3 linked regions of the Mytilus edulis genome follow. Each later gene encodes a partner of the first gene's protein in a complex. Links are inferred from orthologs where the notes say so. Each region holds a gene or a part of one and is shown on either strand. Other genes may lie near its edges. The genes, in order: medium-chain specific acyl-CoA dehydrogenase, mitochondrial-like; electron transfer flavoprotein subunit alpha, mitochondrial-like; electron transfer flavoprotein subunit beta-like.

Region 1 (7,085 bases):
ACTTAACAGAGAACCGCCCAAACAAAAAACATAATAGTCGACACAATAGGCGAACCGCAAAGTGGTTTCCAAATTGTTCACTTTTTTCCTGTTTACCGTGTAACCATAGTTACTATTTGAGGAAAATACTTACCTTTTATACGAGAACAAAATCTTTCGAGCAATCTTTTCATAGCTCAAGATTTTCTTGAAACGCTCTTTATCCTACCAGAATTACTCTATAAACATGATAAACAAACTGACATTTGTAATTAACTTTCTAAATAATAAATTTAATATGTTGTGTTCTATTTTGTAGGAATTGGCTGACATTGTAAGAAGTTAAACAACAAATTAATCAATGATAGTCACTGTACTTTTATTATCAGCTCGGGTGTTTAATACATGAACCTAAAATACTGGATAAAGTGAGTTAACAAAGCGCCTATAAAAGAAAGTACTGCTATTTAAAAATTACTTACAATGAAAGAGAAAAAAACATGACATCTTTTTAATAAAACATGGAAATCAGATATATACCTACAGTAATTCGTGAGGATTAATTAAGCTATGGTACAATGTAAAATAATAAAAACAACAGATGTAGGACGGACTAGAACTAAAATATAAAAGCATGTTAAAAATCGGGATGTTAAGTTGAGATAAGCTGTATGCAATACAATGACGATCGTCGTATAGCCAAAGCTATATATTTACTAGGTGATATAAACTTTTGTACATCTTGTCTTTGGTCATAGTTTTGTTATTTGTTTGTTTTGTCTAGGGATATTATTATAATCACCTTTGTATCTACTAACATACGGGTGTTTTTGTCATGCAACAATATACATATCATTTTACTTTCTGTTCGAAATTATAAAATAACCTTCAACTACTCTCATGTACCACTTGAAAACAAGTATTATATACAATTATGGTCTATGATGATTTGTAAAGAGCAGACATCGTTTGATCTATAATAAATATATACATGTAAGTGCTAAAAAAAGTACCATTATGTCATCTGTATCATTTCTGCATGCTCATAATACAAAATTAGATAATAAAAGAGGAAATTACTTGATTTGAATAAAAAATCTATTTCTATACACAAATCACTTCTATAATCAAGTGAATCAATCAACTTGTATCACGGCATGTGTACACAATATGAAGTTACAAATAATCTATTTGAACACTTATTAGTCAGGCAAAGCCCCAGATAAGAATTCAGAAATTTGGAATTTTACCCCCACCCCACCACAACCCCCCCCTTTTCGTATGTGGCATACTTCATACAGCAGCTTCTTATGAATAATGAAAAGAAGTTAGCATAACACTTTAACTTCACTCTCCGCTGCACAGAGGATGTTCTTTCGCTAAATAATTAAAAGTTTGGAGACTATCTTGGACGCATCTACAGCTATCCAACATGTTACAGATACAGTTATGTCTGACTCATATCTTGACTTGTACATCTTCAAATTGACAAAGAGGTTCGGTTGAGAACAAAAGTTTAAGACAAAGATATAATTTCAGCTTCCCGATTGGTGAATATGAAATCATTCCTTCAAATATTTTACGTCTTTTATTCTTCAAATATATGAATAGCCGAATGAAGAAAGCATTTAACCTATAATGGTTTACTTTTTAAATTGTTATTTGTATGGAGAGTTGTCTCATTGGCACTCACACCACATCTTCCTATATCTATATAGATGTGGACAGATCACAATTAATAAAAAAAAATTAAATCAAAATTCAGCGTTTAACTTAACTGTCAATTTTGTACCATTTGAAAACAAGTATCATCTGCATCGGTTTATAATAACTGGCGGTGACGGACATCATTTATCTTCTGTAACATGTTTTTCGAACCCTATAATCGACTATCACTACGGGAAATTCAATAGAATCTGGGTTTTAGATTTCTGTTCAAAACAATTGTTTTTTTTCCTATCGTATAAAACAGAGTTTTGTGTGCCATTCTGATTGCTATTATATACAATGGATGTTGCAATCGTATACTGCACAAATTTGATTTTTGTTATTTATTGTATCTAATAAAAGTGCATGTAGCCGATATAAAAGGGTGTTGTAACGGATGACTTCATTGCATCATATTCAAGGATATGATCTAAGTGTTCAAATAAGTACATCCGTATAATTGTATTATGAAATCAAATTAGATCACGCTAACGGAAATCTATTTTAAGGAAATTAATTGAAAAAAATGTATTTCGATGCAATTATCACAATTGACAATTAAATTGATCAACTTGTGTCATATGGTATATGATCTGATGTATATTTTAACACTTATAAGTGTAGCTATATTCAGACTCAACTTCTTCAAGTACTCATTTGACGGTTTGTCTCAAAAAGCCTTAATCAAAAGCGGATCTATAGCACTTGCAACACAGTTAAAGGGATTTTAGCTTCGACTTCTTAAAAAGATATTTCAAACATTTATAGGACTTTATAGAACAGGAAATCGAGAAAAAATCTTTAAGCAGTATGTTTGGTTTAATATCGTCAAAGCTAAACTAAAAAAGTCAATCACTGTAGTATTATTGACTTGCAAGTCAATAATTCAGCTTCTTTGAATCAGGCCAATCTGTATTGATCATGTAACCTTTAATTTAACCTTTAGGGAGATTGTTTATATTATATATTCATCAAGACCATTCATAAAAAAGAAAAGAATGACAAGGGAGGCCCTATATGAATATTTTTACTATAACATGAAATCAAACAGATCTCAGTTGAAAAGTCAGATTGCACGTGCTCCCTATCTATTTGTGTTTATATTTATGATTGTATCGACTGTATCAGGTTATATGAACCTCGGCAGTTTTTAGAGGTCATCTCAATGACTTATTAGATGGCGTTTCGTCTATAAAACGCATGCAATGCTGAAACATAGAGAATAATACATTGCAAAATCCGTATCATATGCCGTATCATCCCGAGATACCAATATCAGCCCGAGGGTGATACGGCATGTGATACGGATTTTGCAATGTTTTATACGCTTTATCATATATTTCAACAGGAGACATATATATATATGAACTGCTTTTTGATCATTTGCGCCTTGGTTAACTTCAGTTCTACTTTTGTCTTGTCGAAGCACCTGGGTTACCTTACAATTTGCGTGCTGATGTTTAAAAAAAATTGTTACTTGTATTTTGTTTGTGTGTTTTGTATGGCATGTCAATGAATTCTTTTTTATAGTTGCATTTCGTGTGCCAAAAAATATGAAAACTCGACGTTTGTGACGTCATATGCCAAACAATGACGTCATTCAATAAATTGCGTTACGCCCAAATGACCGTCACGTTCATTTAGGACCCATTTTGAGGAAAAATATTTCTTGAGATGCTTGTTTTTGATTGGTCAATCTTCTCGCTCAAAACAAAAATTGAAAGTTTGTCCTTTTATATATATATTTAAGAAACTCGGAGAATTCAAAGTTGTGTAAAGCGTTGTGTATGATTGCAGGTGCATTATTAAGGGCATACGATACAGTTACAGAGGAGGTCATGACATTACTAACATAAATTGTTATTTTTGCGACGTCAAACTATGACTTATCGGGAAAAGATTCAGTTTTCGACTGTTTTTTTATCATTCAAACTGATTTAACTTGGAAAAGAGTTCATGTACCTCTTTTTTAAAATGCCATTTGGTTTGAATATTTGATAAATGTGAGTTATTTCTGAATAAAAAATGTATAAATTTTTATGATACTTATAAAAAACAGAAATTACAAATTATTATGCGTGCATCATTGAAAGCCTTAAATAAAATTATAAATATCCCTAACCAGCAGCACTGGGTAGTTGATTTTTACTCCAGTATTTCGAAGATCTAGGAATATTTTAAAATATTCGGTAATGTTAAAATTGTTATTCCCAGAAGAAAAAATGGCCTTAATTTTCTATGAGCCATAATATTTAAGACCATACGGGTGCCTAGAATTGTACTTGCTGAAATTACTCGGTATTCAGCTAACGCTCAATAGGACGTTGCTGTCCTTGAATGTTGATTATGTACTTATGTTATTCGTTGTATCTCTGGTGTAAGTCATGTGACTACAGTTTATAGTTTTGAAAAAATGGCAATGTCGTTGTCGAAGGTAACTTATCATTGTTTATATATTCCTTAAATGTTTTGAAAAGCATAAGATACATGTGAACACATAGCACCTATGCTGGTTGTGTTCCTACTCATTTTCTTAGTATAATATTAAACACAACAAACATTGGATTGTTACATGACCCACGAACTGACAAATGTAAAAATTATGAACATGATGAGTTGCATAATTTCCAGTCTGTCTTCGAGTTGTTCTATGCTTACAGATGAACAATTTTAAAATACATTTGACGATATGAATTATAAGAACACAAAGCTTGCACCTGTTTAATGTTGACTTTCAAATTGGTCTCCTGACTTTTACATAACACTACAAGTTTTGATTATATAAATATTTGACATGACATAACTGGTCTCTAGAAATACCACAGAGCACCTTTATTTTCTCAGATAGAATCTTAGTTAAAACATTTTAACCTTAAGAATTGCATTATGTAAAACCTTGCATGTATAAAGCAGATTTGTTGAAATTATTTGTTTCTTTTGCTTATGTCTGATGAAAATTATACCCCGTTTAGTTTTCATGGTTTACAATAGATTTTGAGATGTTTCAAAGTTAACTTATGTAATTTAGATAATTAATCAATCATTATTACATGTTTTGTCTGTGTTATGACCAATTTCAAAGGGAAACAGTTTCAAAAACTGCTTGTTAAGAAATGACACAGACACTTTTTGTCTTCTGTAGAAAAACACTGCAGAGATATACTTTGTATGATTTTTTTTAGGTGTCTAGTGGATTGATTCGACAAGGAAAGCAAAGTTTATGTAAAGCAGCCAGAGCTTTTGGAACAGTTCCAGACTCAGTGAATTCCACATCAGCTCAGGGCTCCGGAGGTTTCTCTTTTGGTAATATATTAGTGCTGAATTATTTCTATCAAAATATTGAAACAAAAACATAGTACAATGTAGTTATATACAGGGGTTAAAAAAATTTGTTACAGCTAACTAGCCCAGGACTTATGGCAGCAGGTTTTTACTAGCCCTGTTGGAAGAACTGCTAGTCCATCAAAACTGACCTGCTAGCCCTAGTATGCCTTAAAAATCAAGAGTTTGCTGCATAATACAAAGTGGGTGTCTTTTGTTTTGAAGGAGACATTATACACTTGACTGTATTTAATATTTTTGGTTGAATTGCTATTTATTGTTGGTGCTTAAACTAACTTAGTCGTTCCCACATTCAAAGCAAACTTTTTATTGGCATGATTTGGGTAACTAACGGTAATATTCACAGAGCATCATCTGTTTTTTTCATCAGCAACAGCCAACCTTCGAGGGGAATTGTTGTATCCCAGTTCTGCCAAATTCTCAGGAAGTAAATGCGTGATTTTTTGGCCAAATTATAAAGATCAAAGAGAAAAAACAAGGAAAATGCCGCCAAATAAGCATGAAAATGGGTGAGTCTCGCCCTAAAGACTTGGCAGGTTTGCTGTCTTGGACACTATAATTTTTTCCCCACTTTTCCCGGTCGTATTTTGCATTTTTGGGGGATGAATTTTCAGTCTCGTTACCCCCTCCATCTACCATTTTTTGTTTTGAAACTGATGAAGTTCATAGGGTGTGTGCGACTTGGCAGCCCTGCTGTCCTGGACACTCCGCGGCTTTTCCCTATCGTATTTAGCATTTTTGGGGGATGAATTTTCAGCCTCGCTACTCCCTTCATCTACCGTTTTTCATTTTGAAACTGACAAAGTTCCTGGGGTTCCCGTACTAAAATATTAAGAAATAATTTGTTGCATGGTTTCGTGCTCAAGAGCTTTGCAACAAGACAGGTCAGTACCGATCAATACATCATATCCCCAAATACCGTTAATTGAAAATCTCGGCATAAGCAATGAACAATACCCCAGGCCATGGTATGAGAAATCGATATTTAAAGTACGAGAATTGTAATCAACACATGATACTGGGCCACCCAGAGTTATTTGTTCTGTTTTTAAAATATGTACAACAGGACCTGTACAAACCAGTTCAAATTCTTGGAATCCCTGATGACTTATAATTATTAATTGAATCGGATTGGCTAACATAGAATAGTAATGAAGGGATTTTCCACTTTTGGAAACGTCAAGATTTTTTTGTTACTAGTCTGTCGGGCATATCGGGTTACACATTTTAATTGCCCGAGGCATAAATGATCTAGTCCCGGGCGTTGGGCTAGTGGATTTTTTAACCCCTGTATATATGAACCTTACATTTTTGTTATTAAGTTAACTGTAGGAGTTATGTGAATATTTAAGTTTTAAGACATGACATATATTTTTTCTTACCTTCCCTTTTTTTTTTTAGAAGAAGAGCTTTTCAGTATTATCATTTCCTAATTTATTTTTATCCTTTGTGACAGTTTTCATTGAACATGCTTCTTTGCTATTCTTTACCATGATTACACATCCTAGAATTTTCCAATCCTAATCAAAACTATCATCAGAAAATAATGTGACGATCACCCTTATTTTTCATTCCAGAGTCTGACCATACAGTAAACATGTACCAAAAACTACAACATTATTTTCTTTATTTGCCAATCAGGTGCCCAAAATGAGCAGTATAATTGCACCTAGATCAAACTCTTCATTTACATTTTCAAGTTGTATGACCCTAGCAATTAAGCACAGGCATAATCTGACCCTAATTCCAACTCTTCATTTCAGAGTAATCAGATATTGACTCTGATTTACTCTTCAACAATGCATAATCTTATCAGATATTGACCTCTTATTAACTCTTCAACAATGAGTAGGGATACCATTATCCTTACTATTACAGAGGTCAGAGTTATTGAGACCTTACAGTTGTAGTTACTTTTAACTTTTAGTATCTTATATATAGAATTATTTGATCTTTAGCTTAAACCATTCTATTGCAGAGTTATCAGATGAACAGAAAGAATATCAACAGACTGCAAGAAAGTTTGCCAGAGAAGAAATCATACCAATCGCAGCACA
Region 2 (7,337 bases), on another chromosome or scaffold:
GAGTAAAGTTTCGTCATGTCGAGCACTATAGAAAAAATTCCCATGATGTTTATTGCATATAAAAAAAATAACCATCACTGGAAGTTAACCAATCAAATTTTCAACCTTTTTCTTCCTGTGTACAAGCTTAAGAAACCAGGAAACCTCAAGTTTCCAAAATATTCTATAGAAAAAATCAATTAAAAAACATAATGGTACTTTGAAACACCCAAGATATAAGTCTATGACACAGATTTGTTTACTGCAATAAATGTAGGATAAATTTCCTACAACTGTCAAATTCAAGGGAATACTTTTTCAATCCTTTTATCGTATGCAACCAGATGTGATGTACTATGATTTTGTGGTATTACACCTTATTTATGTAACCTGGCCCTATATTGAGTAATTGTTGCTTGCTAATTTAATCCTCTCATCATGCGCATAATAACAAATGATACAGAAAATATATACAATTTTGCCTATTACATCAGTTAGGGAAATGTGTTTACAACCTACCTTGTAATCATTAGGGAAGATGGGTGATATTTGACGACAGGTAAGTTTAAGATTAAACTCAGGTATATCATATACAGTCCATGATCGGGGATAAAGTGCATGATATGTAGCATTCTGTCTGGGAAATCCCCATTCCCAGGATTTTAAGTGCTTCCCTTTTCCTCCTGTTAAGACTTTTTGGTAAACAGTTTTATTGTTCTTTCGTATACACAAGATGAACTACAAAACAAAGATAGAAACATGAAACAAACTATAATATAAAAATAAGATGATGAGACAATGAGACAATTATCTACAAAGGACATAGATGTAAACACCATTAGACAACTATACAGCCATCAACAATGAGCAAAATCAATACCCTATGCTTTAAAACTAAAAAAAGGCTAAAGGATAGAAAAAGTTATCCATTTATACACTTTGCTTTCACAAAAAAAATAACCAGTGTCTGTCTGATGTGGTTGGTATCTACAAATCTTCCTTATGCTAGAACTCACTATAGTTACTTAACCAGGAAATTAAAGTTGCCCCATTCTTTGCATCTTATATTTTCGATAGTTTCTTTCTCCTGTATCTTGTACAAATGCATGGTGAAAATACTACTTGATAAAAAATTCAACCATGATCATATAAGCATAAAACTGACTTCTCATCAACAATTTATCATAGATTGACATTGTCATGTATTTTATGGTGAAATTATAATTTTTCCATGTGCTCCACAGTAAAATACCTTTCCAACAATATTGATGCCACATTTCAGAAAATTCTTATTTATAGTTCCTGAACACTAAATTTCATACATGGTCAGAATTTGTAACAATATATTATAGGTATTCAGTTAACAAAAAGTTCAAAATCTGAATTTAAGGAAGTTTTGATATGTAAATGTAATACCGTAGAAAAATGTGGCAGAACTTTTATGGAATGAACAGATGGACAAACAGATGGCATACACCAGAATAGCATTATACCACTCTCATTAGGTTTGACAATGGTAGGTCATGAAGATTGCAGTTATTATTGTACTTACAGAATTTGCTGGTACAATAGTATGTTCATATATCCCTGGCACCATCTGAAATCTACAAAATTCACCTCGGTAACCACGACCAATGGTCCCACACCCTATACCACCTATTGGACAGCCTGTAAAATATGTAACAGTTTATCTTAAGAATTCTTCTTACAATACAAGATTAAAGGAACTTCTATTTCTTGACACCACAATCCATACCACTAATAAGACAACCACTAAACATATTATGAAATATCTACAAAATTATTAAAAAAATCCTCAACCATGCACTTGTAATAAATATACATAAATGATATAGTTACTGTAAATTCAGAAATTATTGCCGGCATTTACTATTGTGATTTTGTCATTTTAGACTTAAATGTGATTTCAATTTTTAGGATATTGAGAAAAAAATTATATAAAATATTTCAAAATGCTAGTTTAAATTATTGCGTTTACAACTTTGTTGCATTTTTCGCAATAATAAAAACCTCACAATAATTTCTGAATTGACAGTAAACCAACACAACTTTCCCAGGCAGAAACAGTCAATTGGCCCACAACTTACATTGCCATACAGAAATCATGCAAAATAAACAAGATTAAACCATTCCACAATCTATATCCCTTATAAGACCACCTGCAAAATATGTACAAGTATATTTAAAGAATTCTCACTAGAAAAAAGTCCTACAAATATTGTATTATTTCATCATATCTAACATGTCGAACTCATTCTAAGTTACGGGACCTGAATTTAGTATGTATCAGTTTTACCCATTTAATATGACCTGTGACCTTTATTTCAGGTTTATTGTTAAAACCTGACCTGTCAAATTTTCTCTGACAAGCTATCTTTTTGGGGTTTTTTTTTTTTATCATTTGTTTACTGTCTCATTGACAGATATTTAACATGTTATTGAAACGTCACAAAAAAGTTACCATGTTTGTCGACATAAAAGCAGATCATCAAGAAAAATTTTGAGCAATACAATGCGTCTCCAATTCTAGATATTAAAATTGATTGACGAGTCTCAAAATAGGAAAAAAATCCTGTCAGAATTTTTTGGTATATAAATCACCCTTCAAAACTATTGTCAATACTATGGTGGTCAGTTTTTATTAGTTTTGAAGCCCAGGTCTCTGAGCAGAACCACTGAGGCAAGTTTCAGTAGGAAACCTGATACCACATTGTGGACAGACTAGTGAAACAGTAGATAAACTCCTTAGACGACTCAGATACCAAGACTTGATGCAGTGGTCCACTCAATTTGGGGATTCAGTTAAACACAAACTATGTCTTCTGTTAATTCTTACCATAAATAGGCTTGTGAGTAACTTGATTGAGATGATCTATAAACATTATTCTTCCCTGTCTTTTGTGCTTTATCCATACTTTCATATATCTGTAACAACCAACAGTACAAAGTTTTAGACTTTCCGACATTCAATAACATTTTTCTGATAAATAGATTAATTGTTGTTTGCAGTGGAAAATATTTCATGATGTTACGATTTTGTCTTGCATCATGCCACCAACAGACACATAAGAATTCTTTTAACCTTTGACATTTACCGTAAGCATTTTAGAACTAAACTTATGGAAAATACACTATCCAAGTTCAGGGGCGGATCCAGTCCTTTTAAAAAGGGGGGGTTCCTAACCCAGGACAAAGGGGGGGTTCCAATTACATGTCCCGATTCAAATGCATTGATCGTCCAAAAAAAAGGGGGGGTTCCAACCCCCAGAACCCCCCCTCTGAATCCGCGCCTGAAGTTCAACATTCAATGAATAGAGCATTTGCATCAAGGCTCATATAAAGGCCATATTGGAATCATATTAAAGAAATTGCTTGAAAATTTCCTGGTGTATTTCTGTTAAACGGTATCTCTCTATATAAGTCATCTGACTTGCCAAGTGTAAAAAAATACAAAATTATTGTAGGAAAGGTTTTGTAGAAACACAATTTTGTGATAAAAAGGAACATTTTCTGGCAAAAGTAATGTCATCCACATACATGTATGTTAGAAACAGACCAGATGCTGTAATAATATAGAAAAAGAAATTATGTGATATGTGCCTTGGAATATAGATGGCTGCAACGTAAACAAATAACAAATTTCAGAAGTTTTTTCATCCAATTCAAATCCCTGACACAAATTTCTTTCTTAATCTTGTTCATTCAAATAAAATGTTATCATATACAAGCAAAGATTCCATGATTTCCAGTTATAGGAAATGTTGTGCATCCTGGACTAATCAGTCTATTTTTGCAACATGTGCAATGAGGCAAAAGAACGGTACAATTTAGCCAACAAATTTTTAAAGAAACAAACATAAATCTTTCTTGATTTGTCTAGAAGGAGCATGCAATTTTGATGCATGTGCAACAGCACCTTTCCACAAAGTACCTTGCCAGTCTTTATGCATGTTTAAAAACTTGAAACACCCTAGTAAATTCGTACCTATAACCATGTTTAATATGTGGCATAATGTACAATGTCTGGTCACAATGTAAAACGTTTACCTATAGCTAAGACCAATTAATTCAGGAATGTGGGTGAGTCTGGGTTTTACAAATGGATCACATTTGTCCTTGCATTCATGTTCGAAGTTTACTCTCCAACCAAATTTGGGGACATTGGCAATGTCCTCTTTTGGTGTAGTTATGCTAGCTTCGGGGGAATGGTCTATATGTTGAGGTTTTGGCATCTTGCACTTGAAGCCTTGAAGCAAGCAGGGAAGCAAGTCAGTCTTGACCAATACGAATGTCGTTTCTGCCCGCATTTGTTTTAATATTTCAACAGTCCGATTACTTCCGGGGTAAAAATATTGTTGCATAAAAATGTTTTCGAGGTGCTGCAGAACAAAATTAGCTAATCAGACGGTAAACTAACGATAATACTTTTTTTGCATATCATTTTAAAGAGTTATCTTTATTATTTGTGTATATATGTTTTTATAAAGATTGATAATGCGTCACTTTGCAACTTTGACCTTTGATTTTTGTAAAATTATCAGATTATATAAATGAAATATTCCATTTAACCAGTCAATGTCCCACAAGGACAGTTTACAAACAACAGTTTTCATTTAATTTTTACATAACATAAACTTAGAAATAAAAAAATATATACATGTATGCATATACAGCAAGAACAGCATGTACAGTGTTGGTGTTAGTATCATGATTATAAGGATTATGTACGCTTGGGTATCGGGATCGTTCGCTCTGATTACATGTTTGCCCTAGGTTCGTTCGCACTGAGTTTGTTCGCCCTGGGTTCTTTCGCCCTATTTTCATTTATGATATATATGTACAATGGATACGTTACATTAATGATGAAATAAAATATATATATTAAAATTTGGGTTACACTAAAGACCTGAAAGTGGACCTGAAAAGACCTGAAAAGACCTGAAAATATACGACTAAAATTATTCAAATTGCAATAACTTTTTTATTATTGGATGGAATTTCTTCAAGTTGGAATTTTATTAATTGTAAATATTCAGATTTCATTCAAATTAAAAAAAATTAAATAAAAAACAATTTTTTGATGCCAAAAGTTGGACCTGAACGGAGAAATGAAAAGACCTGAAGGGACCTGAAAATCTATGTCGGACTAATTCTAACTACAATAACTTTTTTAATATTCAATGGATATCTTTCAACTTTTGTTTTTGTGACACAAAAAGTTCAATATAATGATAAAATTAAAAAAAAAATATGAAAAATACCATTTGGGTGTGAAAACTCGGAACTGAACGGAAAATTAAGGAACATAAATTTGCTTGAAAAGACTGCGGTCAGATTTATTCAATATCTTTAACTGTTTTCAATCATTCTCCTTGAAATATGAATTTTGTTATAGGAAAGGTATAATATATCAATGAAATTATAAAGAATTTTATCGAAAATATAATTATTTAGTTACAAAATTCGGACCTTGTCGGTGAAATAAAAGACATGAATGGATTATAGGGGTAGTTGTATTTAAACTCGCAAAACATTGTTTTCCTATTTGTTTCTATTTTAGACAAAAGTCTATTGAAGAGAACGAATGACTTTATATTTATACAGGAACATATTTGAAAACAAAGTACATTGTTATTGATGAATCCTGAACCTAAGGGGAAAAAAGAGGAAGATTGTACGTTGAAATTATTCAAACTAATACAACTTGTTTAAACTACATTAATATATATTTTATTCTTATTCTATATTAAAGCTGGTCGTAAACTGCTTTATTTATAAAATGAAAGTATTAGTATTGCTTCCCCATAAACCATATGTCATTTAAAGAGTTCGTCGATTGGAATGTTTTAATTACACGAACGTGTGCCGGTTGTAATTCACACCTTGTTTTGATATTAGGTGATAATTGGATCATTAGTCTAAATAAACATTTCACTTTAATCTTCTAATTGGATTATCACTTTATCTTGTTACACGAACTAAACATTGCTCGGTCACCAATTAAAGTATAGTATAGATCTGTACGAACACAATTTTTACCAAAGTACTATTGTCATTGGCCTAATAATATCAAACTATTAAATTTACTACAAGCTTCTAGTAAGTCTCTCACGATCAAATTATGTAATTATGTAAAAGCTGCATTGAATATTCGATCTTATATAGTCTCATAACTCAATTTATATGTCATTGTATTTTACTATTGTTCTCTGTTGTCTATTCATGTTTTATATTATGTAATATATGTTGTTAATTTTGCCATAGCCTGTCTATGCTTTGCAATAAAGATTCATTCATTCAAGTATAAACTTTACAAATTAAAAATATAAGCATATATCAAACTAATCAGTGAATTCAGATCAACGCTCTTACTTTTTATAAATTATAGTCAACTTTGAATCGTTTTTAGTCAGAATAAAAATATTCAACAAAGTGCGTACAAGTATAGTTTCCAACGTTATTATATATCAGCATGTCTCCTGCATTGCCATTACCTTTGCTAACTGAACACACCAGACTAACATCATACCGATCGAGACGCTATATATATCCAGGTTCATTCAGGACTTCATTTTTCATTCAACAGGTCCGACGTTTGTCACAAAGTGCAGGTTCCAGACTTGGGACACCACAAAAATTGTGACGGGGTTATTGTAGTTTAAAGACACCAAACCTTTTTCTCAATTATTTATTTCTATGGTATATCTCTTTGACTTATAAGTTTTGACATCCGAGTTTTGATTATTCCTTGGTATCTTCAATCTTTATCATGTTAGTATCTCCTGTCAATAAAAAATAGGGAGATGTGGTGTGATACCAATGAGACAGATCTCTACAAGAGACCAAATGACATCGAACATGAAAAGTTATCAATCATATTTTTCGTCTATGTTTATTATTTTCGTTTTAAAATAATGTGGAATTTTAGGCTCATTCAGATTTTGAATTTTTCGTTCAGGTCCGAATTTTGACACCCCAACAATATTTTTCACATATTTTTTTTCATATTATCATTATATTGAACTTTTTGTGTCATAAAATCAAAAGTTGAAAGATATCCATTGAATATTAAAAAAGTTATTGTAGTTAGAATTAGTCCGACATAGATTTTCAGGTCCCTTCAGGTCTTTTCATTTCTCCGTTCAGGTCCAACTTTTGGCATCAAAAAATTGTTTTTTATTTAATTTTTTTTTAATTTGAATGAAATCTGAATATTTACAATTAATAAAATTCCAACTTGAAGAAATTCCATCCAATAATAAAAAAGTTATTGCAATTTGAATAATTTTAGTCGTATATTTTCAGGTCTTTTCAGGTCTTTTCAGGTCTTTTCAGGT
Region 3 (8,003 bases), on another chromosome or scaffold:
TAGTTTAGTCTTAAATGCATGATTTTTTTATTAGTTGTTAGTGACTTTGAACTAGCTGTCAATTAACTTTGAGTACTCTCAGATTTGTACCTAGTGTATTTTGTTGTTGTTGTCGGCCACGTTACTTGTATTTTTGTCCATCTAATGAGTTAAGCCTTTTCAACTGATTTTTATAGCTCATTCTTATGTTGTACTGTACATGTTATACCACTGTCCCAGGTTAGAGGAGGGTTGGGATCCCGCTAACATGTTTGTATTTATGTATGTGCCTGTCCCAAGTCAGGAGCCTGTAATTTAGTGGTTGTCATTTGTTTATGTTTTACCTTTTTGTTTTTCATTCTTTTTTTGTACATAAATAGGGCCTTTAGTTTTCTCGTTTGCATGTTTTACATTGTCATTTCGGGGCCTTTTACAGCTGACTATGCAGTATGGGCTTTGTTCATTGTTGAAAGCCGTACAGTGACCTATAGCTGTTAATCTGTGTGTCATTTCGGTCTCTTTGGAAAGTTGTCTCATTTGCAATCATACCACATCTTCTTTTTTTATGTGACATGTTCCTTTATTATCATTTTTCATTGTAGTCTTTGTAGTTAATAATTTTGTACAGTCCAATGTCCTTGACAACATACATGTAGAGTTGACCTATTGCTTATAGTATCTTAGAAATAGACAAAACCATGAAAACTAAACATTGTTCAATGAACCATGAAATTGAGGTCAAGGTCAGATGAAATCTGTCAGTTGGACATGCATATACTCTTTACTATCAATCAATTCACAAATTTCATTTGTTGTTTATTATCTTTTTCTAATTTAGTCCTTTCGTAATCAATAATTTTGTTCAGTCCAATGTCCATAATCAAATAGAGTTGAGTCTTGACCTATAGCTTATAGCATTTGAGATATAGACCAAACACAAATACTTAATATTGTTTACCGTAGTGAACCATATAATTGAGGTCAAGGTCAGATGAAATCTGTCAGTCAGAGTCAGACATATACCCCTAACAAAATTCCATACATCAAATAAATTTGACCTTTTGCCAACAGTATTTGGGATAAGGACTTCACCTACCTTTAACCTTGGTTACACATCCACTGAAAAAAGGTAAAAGTCGGGTGTACTGAACCTGATAAACCTATAGACGTTGAAATTACCCATATATACAAAATGTAGTTTGAAAAAATCATTTTATTTCAAGCAGTTACTGAACTATGAAAATGAGGTCAAGGACAGTGGACAAATGACAGATATAAACTAGTTAACAGAGGTATCTGCATAAAAAATATTAAGCATCTAGGTCTTCTAGTTCAACGGTCTAAAATATAAAGCTTAACACAAATGGTTTATGCAGTGACTGTTGCTGGATGTCTCACATCTTGTACTTTCTGCACTTGCCAGAAAAAAAGCAGACATAAACATGGTAAAATTTGTTATCAAGTTAAAAGTATATCAAGTGTATCTGCATCATCACCCTTTAAAAGAAAAATCATTGCAGTTCAAATGATGCCTATTTAGAATGTTCCCATGGGTGTTCACAGATTGTGTGTTTTCCAATGTATCATAGTATTAAGAAGCTGTATTTTGAAATTTTGGTTTTGGGGTGGGTTTATTTTATATATATTTTTGCTTAACAGCAAAATTTGCATTAGATGTGCAACATTTTTTTTAAATCCTCAAAGGGGGAGAAATCAATATGGCTGTTTTTTATAATTTCTATTAAGGGGAAAGCACTAACGATGGTTATACCTTTTTACTATTTTCCTTCAAGGGGAGAGCACCCAATACCACTGTTTCATCAATTCTGTTGTACCATTGTCTGTTTGTTATCTTTGTCATAAGTTTGTTATAATACAACGTTGGATAGAAGGCAATCTTCCCAAATAAGCTTCCTGACATAATCAATCTTTATTCTTCTATTTTCAAGCTGCACCAACACCTAGAAATATAAAACAAATGACATATGCATGAAATGGAAAATATTTAAAAAATAAAAATCAAATCAAATATTTTATTTTTCCAATAAGGGTCCCACAAGGGGCATTTACAATTAGCAATTATGATAGTATAAGCAACAAACATGAGACATTGTACAGTATATAACGTGACAGATATTATAAGAAACAAATGAAAATAGCATTAATAACAAAAATACATTAAAAGTACTTTTTTTTCCTTCCTTCCATCCTTTTAACCATTATTATTTAATTGTCCAGCAGTGCACAAATAAAAAAATATTAATAATAAAGTTTGAACAGACTTAAATTATTATCTATAAAGATGGAAATTTGTTCATCTGCAAGAGACACCAAGGGACGGTGCTCAAGGATATACTGTTGATTGAGATAGGCAATAACAGCAATCCTTCCCGTGTCAGAAGCAGATGAACAAAATAAATAGAGAAACTGAATCCTGTCAATTAACAAATATTATTTTAAATAACAACAATGAGGGGGGATAGGAAAAAATGTAGGAGGGGTCCTGATCCCAAAATCCCGGGCTTAAAAACACGAAATCCAGAGGTCCCAAATTTAAATAAAGTAAATCCGGAAATAAAATAAAAAAAGAATTCCCGAATCCCAAAGGGTCAATCCCGAAATCCCGAGCTTAAAAACACCTGATCCCGGAGTCCCGATAAAGGTCCTATCCCCCCTCAACAATAGCTAATTTTGCGAAACATGTAATATTAATCTGCTATTTGCAGTGTTTAACCAGGAATATACACAACTCTTTTAATACTGTTACAGTTGAGTTCTCACAAGACAGCAGCCATAGCAATTTCTCTTGGGAATTTAAATTAATGAAATTGGGACATGATTCAGAAATAATTTGATATAACTGATGTCTGTCTTACAAAAAATAAATTTTTATAAAAATAATATTTTATTGTTGAATTTTGTATGCAGTAGCATTTTTCAAAGTACTTTGTTTATCCCATGAAATATCAAACATTACCACATAGTACCAGAGGTAATTCAAACAAAAAATATACCCTTAAGAAAACAGATTTACAGAGTAATTGAGAGATTTATATTCTAAAGGACAATTCATCCAATTCATCAGAACTACATCATAACATACTCAGCTCTGCATTAAAGAGTTATTATGATTAAAGCAAAATATCACACACAGGGTTTCTTTTGAGATTGGGAAATGATGATGTAATATTTTTGACATAAATTACTAGCCAAGATTTTTTTTTTTTTTTATCTGTCCTACATTCTATTTATATGCATAGTTGTTGTCACTTTCTTTCGTATATCATTATATAGCAACATATAAATGAAAAAAAAACTTTCATTGTTTGTAAGATGCAATCATAATAGTTTTAAATATAAGAATGTAGGACAGAAAGTCACAGGACAAAAAGTCACAATTCATTTTTTCTAATTATTTTCTTTGAATAAAAACCACTTATTTCTACTTTTCTTGAGCTATTGTATATAAACCAACTTTGTTAACAAAATTTATCAAAAATATATCAAAGATGATCAAATAATTGCTAAAAAAAACAAAATGTCAAAGTGGTTTGGCACTTAAATGGCTTCATGGTGCCAAGAAATATATCTTTTGCCTGATTAGAATTAAATAAATCTTGATTTTTCAAGTATAATGACACATTTCCTAAACTTTAATAATGTTGCAATGTTTAGATACCTTTTCATGTTAGCACAAGAAACAACATTTCGATCGCCATCGTTAGACAAGATGAAAAGTATTCTAGACAATTGTGGATTCTCTTACTTATGGTCATTCCAAAACACATCACCTAACATTAAATCGATAATTAAACAAAGACTAGAAGATCAGTTTACACAGTCATGGTCAGGAAAGGTAAACGATTCGCCGAAAGCCCTGAATTATCGCCTATGCAAGACATCACACAATTTCGAACACTACCTTAACGTACTTGATGATAAAGATGTAATAACAATGTCGCGGTTTAGGACAATGAACCATAAACTGCCGATTGAAAATGGTAGATGGCAAAACATTCCCCGAGAACAGAGAAAGTGTCCGTTGTGCAGAGTTGCTATAGGTGACGAATACCACTATGTAATGGAATGCAGCAGTCTCTTAACAGATAGAACACTACTTATTGACAAGAAATGACTAACAAACTTTAATGTTTTAAAATTTAATGCTATTATGAACCAAAAACAGAAATCTAAACTTCGAAAATTGTGCCAATTTATTAGAATTATAAATGACAAACTGGATTCTCTCTGATGTTAACCTGTCGGCTATACTGATCATACTGTTGTAAAAAACTCATATTTAATGCTTCCTCAACAAATGTACAATACTACATATATGCAATGTAATGTAAACTAATGTGTTTTTCTGTATACCTTTGTCCAACTTAGGTGATACCAGAATAAAATGATATATAATTTATATATCATTTTATTTATATGAATATATGTATTTATAAAAGTAAATATTTCAAAATATTTCTCTTATATATATATTCAAATAATTGTCAACAAATTATTTGTGACTTTTTGTCCTATCAAATTTGTGACTTTATGTCCTGTGACTTTTTGTCCTGTGACTTTCTGTCCGTTTATCTATAAATAATATCAAATAAAGCATAGGTACGAGTTGATAAAAATAGGGTACGAGTTGGTTGAGTACGAGTTGTCGTATACAACATTGTCATTGAGTTTAAAAAATCATATTCCGGTATACATGTTACTGAAAAAAGGTTTCTTTTTTCATTTAATTCGAAAACTGTTTGTTCCTAAACATTGACACTTAGTAGCAGGTCTTTTTTATATCAACATTTACATTTTCACATTTCACATGATTCTTTGCCAAACTCTTCTGTCTTTGAAAACCACAAAAGTTATACAAAGGATAACTTATTATTCAAATGTTTTTATAACCTTTATTCTTTTTTTTTTTAACTTTAGTTTGCTTGGTGTGGTAAAGTTTAATTGAAATTCTAATAACTTTATTTTTAACAGTGTAATTTTATTGACGATTTATCCATTACAATAAAAATTAAAGTTGTCGTTATTAGGGCTCCAATAAATTCTCCCGGTTCAAAGGTCAAAATGTCAGCACTGAGAGTGTTAGTTGGTTGCAAAAGAGTTATAGATTATGCTGTTAAAGTAAGATATTGTCACCCTATAGGAAATATTCATAGCAGTCTAAATAGTCAGGACAACTTTTTACAAAATATGTTAAAAAATATGTAACAAGCGTTTGGTTAAACATGTTATTTTTTTGTTAAAGTTTAACCTTTACCACTTTTTTATTTAGAGCTTACACTTACAAATGACTTAAGTATCATCAATTACATAAAAGACCATATTAATTTCACAAATGGGCTAATATGTAAATGTATAAACGATAAAGTAATGAAATGACATGTCACACAAAAGTCTCTGTATTCAGTGGCATGAAAATTGTAGCTATAGCCTATAGTTTTTGTCCTGGGACTATAATAATTTATACTAAGAATAATAATAGAATAAGTACAATAGTCCCCCAGCTATGCCCATGGCCTAAAGTGAAGCACATACACTAAACATGGGAAATGGAACAGGATCTCTTTGTGTAAGTGTCAACTTTGCATATTTAGGTTCCTGGCAGATGATTCTAGAGTTCCTGGAGGGCCCTAGCAGGATACATATAAGTGATGCAAAATCCTGCATTATCATTATGCTGCAACTCTAAAACAGCCTGTACTAATCTTTAATCATGTTAATGAAGTTAATCCAACAAAATCTTTAAAGGCATCAAAATACAAATGTTAGAATAGCACAGGATGCTTGCCATATGGCTACCTTATTTCAAGTCTAATCAGAGATGAGTGCCAAAATCAAATCATTTCACTTTCAATTAATGAAAGATTTGAATTGTATTCGTATTCATAGCCAATTTCTTTACAATTGTTATTGATATTGATTTCTTATTAACTTCAATCAGCTTTCTATGACAATTTTTTCCGAGGTCAAACTATTTTCTCTTCAGTTGTTTGGACAGAGTATTAATTGAAAGAGTTATCTCCTCCTTTGTTTTTATTTCATGATATATATCGCAGCTGACAGAGTAGAGGTTACATAGGAATCCTCATATAGGTTTGTGACCATTAGTCACTTTTTGGAGCTTCCATATGATAGAGAACCACTTTTTTGAAATTGTCATTTTAATGTAATGTATTAAATCTCTAAGGACATGAAGGATAGGTTAAGCTATTGTCATGATTGTCTTTTTCATTTTCACAATTCCAGAGTTTAAATTCAAACTTGTGAATTTTGGATAATAAATGGAAAATCCCTTTTTCAAATTCATTGAAATTTTGAAGGACTGTTTCTGAGAAGCACAGGTTGAGTTCATTTTCTTCATCACTCTTGCTGTTCCAGAGCATTGTTCATGTTGTTGCTTGATAATTGAATTAAGATCAATATTTTGTGGTTTCTTAGGATTAAATGGAGAACCATTTTTAATACCATGTGTATGAAACTGAAGGAAGTTTCAATCGAAGTTTTGACAACCAACTTAGATTAGGTTTGATTAGCATTAAAACCGATATTGTATGGTTAGTGATATTGAGTGACTCCAAAAGGAATTTAAGTCATGTAAGTTCTCTACGGTCAGTAGGCTTATTATTGTCTTGTAACACAGATTTATTCATTGATAAATAGAGGAATACATCATTTCTGATTTAATCTACTACACTTCACATCAGCATGTTTATTACGGAAATAATACCCTATGGAAAATCCATCATTGAATTTTTATGCTGGTGTACTTCTTACCAAAAGGAAAGAGGTCCTTACCAGGATAAAAATCACTGTTACTGACACATTCCACTTCAACTTTAAGTACATTGGTGTTTATTATATGAATCTAACATAATTATACAGTGATTTGCAGGAATACTTTTTTGGAATATAAATATGTAAAGAGCAAAAGTTATGTAAGCAAGGTAAAATTTGTAATTCAATGTTTCATATGAATGATAACAGTCATGCATTCTTTTTATTTGAATAGATTCGGGTGAAGCCAGATAAAACTGGTGTGGTAACTGATGGAGTCAAACATAGTATGAACCCATTTGATGAAATAGCTATAGAAGAAGCTGTTAGACTTAAAGAAAAGAAAATAGCATCAGAAGTGATAGCTGTGTCATGTGGACCAAAGCAATGTCAGGTCTGTTTACATATGAGTTAAATGAGTTAGGTCAAATATGATTATCAGGCATAAATATAAAATTACTACTTAGATATTGGAAGATGTGGTGTAAGTGCCAATGAGACAACTCTCCATCCAAATAACAATTTATAAAAGTAAACCATTATAGGTCAATGTACGGCCTTCAACACAGAGTCTTGGCTCACACCAAACAAAAAGCTATAAAGGGCCCCAAAATTACTAGTGTCAAACCATTCAAACAGGAAAACCAACGGTCTAATACTTAGCATGTTTAGCAAACTAAATGTTAGAGACAGTAAACTTGCAAGGAATGATGATAGTTTTAATTAACAGATCTGTACATCTGAATTTTTATCATGTTTATGTAGGATAACATAGTTGCCATGTGTTTATGTTAATTCCCCTGATTTTTAAGCTAACAATTCATTATTTTATCTTTATAGAATGTGTTACTCTTCTGACACAAAATGTATCGAACAAATTTCTAAGTTTGTATTTTGTAATGTATCATAAGAATCATTAATTGTACATATATTGTCCTTACCACTTGTTGTAAAGCAAACAAAAATCAACCAATCACAGATTTCCTTATAATGTTCAAAATGTTTTCAGTGTACAAAATGGTAACATTTTGCTACAGAATTTAAAATATGCATGACTATAGGTGTAAAACTGAAAGCGTCTCTTAGTGTTGAGGTCAGTTGTCCTAGATTTTCATGATCCATTATGATCTTAATATATATTTCAATGATGATTCATGTAAAATTAGTTGATGGAATACACTCATAGGAATTTATTGAGCCATGTGATCTATGAAGGAAATATCTACCTTACA

Evidence for each region.
Region 2: the proteins of medium-chain specific acyl-CoA dehydrogenase, mitochondrial-like (region 1) and electron transfer flavoprotein subunit alpha, mitochondrial-like are in contact, whole or in part, in a crystal structure (PDB 2A1T), measured with the Homo sapiens proteins. The link is inferred for Mytilus edulis from reciprocal best matches to the Homo sapiens genes ACADM and ETFA. Residues at the interface, in NP_000007.1 of Homo sapiens: Pro163, Lys173, Pro211, Gln232, Arg235, Glu237, Val251, Glu253; in NP_000117.1 of Homo sapiens: Arg223, Lys226, Arg249, Asp253, Ala283, Ile284, Gln285, Glu304.
Region 3: the proteins of medium-chain specific acyl-CoA dehydrogenase, mitochondrial-like (region 1) and electron transfer flavoprotein subunit beta-like are in contact, whole or in part, in a crystal structure (PDB 2A1T), measured with the Homo sapiens proteins. The link is inferred for Mytilus edulis from reciprocal best matches to the Homo sapiens genes ACADM and ETFB. Residues at the interface, in NP_000007.1 of Homo sapiens: Glu43, Gln44, Lys46, Glu47, Phe48, Thr51, Lys54, Phe55, Glu58, Glu59, Arg80, Glu83, Leu84, Gly85, Leu86, Leu98, Leu100, Ile108; in NP_001976.1 of Homo sapiens: Glu73, Arg76, Thr77, Tyr192, Ala193, Thr194, Leu195, Pro196, Ile198, Met199, Lys202.

Annotation. Positions count from the first base shown.
Region 1 is NC_092345.1:9,939,993-9,947,077, reverse strand, and holds the start of medium-chain specific acyl-CoA dehydrogenase, mitochondrial-like, read left to right. Parts: upstream 1-3,988; 5' UTR 3,989-4,099; coding exon 4,100-4,120; intron 4,121-4,868; coding exon 4,869-4,989; intron 4,990-7,006; coding exon 7,007-7,085. UniProt on the Homo sapiens protein: Medium-chain specific acyl-CoA dehydrogenase is one of the acyl-CoA dehydrogenases that catalyze the first step of mitochondrial fatty acid beta-oxidation, an aerobic process breaking down fatty acids into acetyl-CoA and allowing the production of energy from fats.
Region 2 is NC_092347.1:28,765,415-28,772,751, reverse strand, and holds the start of electron transfer flavoprotein subunit alpha, mitochondrial-like, read left to right. Parts: upstream 1-4,307; 5' UTR 4,308-4,365; coding exon 4,366-4,407; intron 4,408-7,337. Other genes in the region: non-lysosomal glucosylceramidase-like, read right to left, coding at 499-717, 1,532-1,647, 2,837-2,925, 4,048-4,307. UniProt on the Homo sapiens protein: Heterodimeric electron transfer flavoprotein that accepts electrons from several mitochondrial dehydrogenases, including acyl-CoA dehydrogenases, glutaryl-CoA and sarcosine dehydrogenase.
Region 3 is NC_092348.1:27,180,289-27,188,291, forward strand, and holds the start of electron transfer flavoprotein subunit beta-like, read left to right. Parts: upstream 1-4,961; 5' UTR 4,962-5,061; coding exon 5,062-5,118; intron 5,119-7,006; coding exon 7,007-7,165; intron 7,166-8,003. Other genes in the region: phosphatidylglycerophosphatase and protein-tyrosine phosphatase 1-like, read right to left, coding at 1,751-1,900. UniProt on the Homo sapiens protein: Heterodimeric electron transfer flavoprotein that accepts electrons from several mitochondrial dehydrogenases, including acyl-CoA dehydrogenases, glutaryl-CoA and sarcosine dehydrogenase.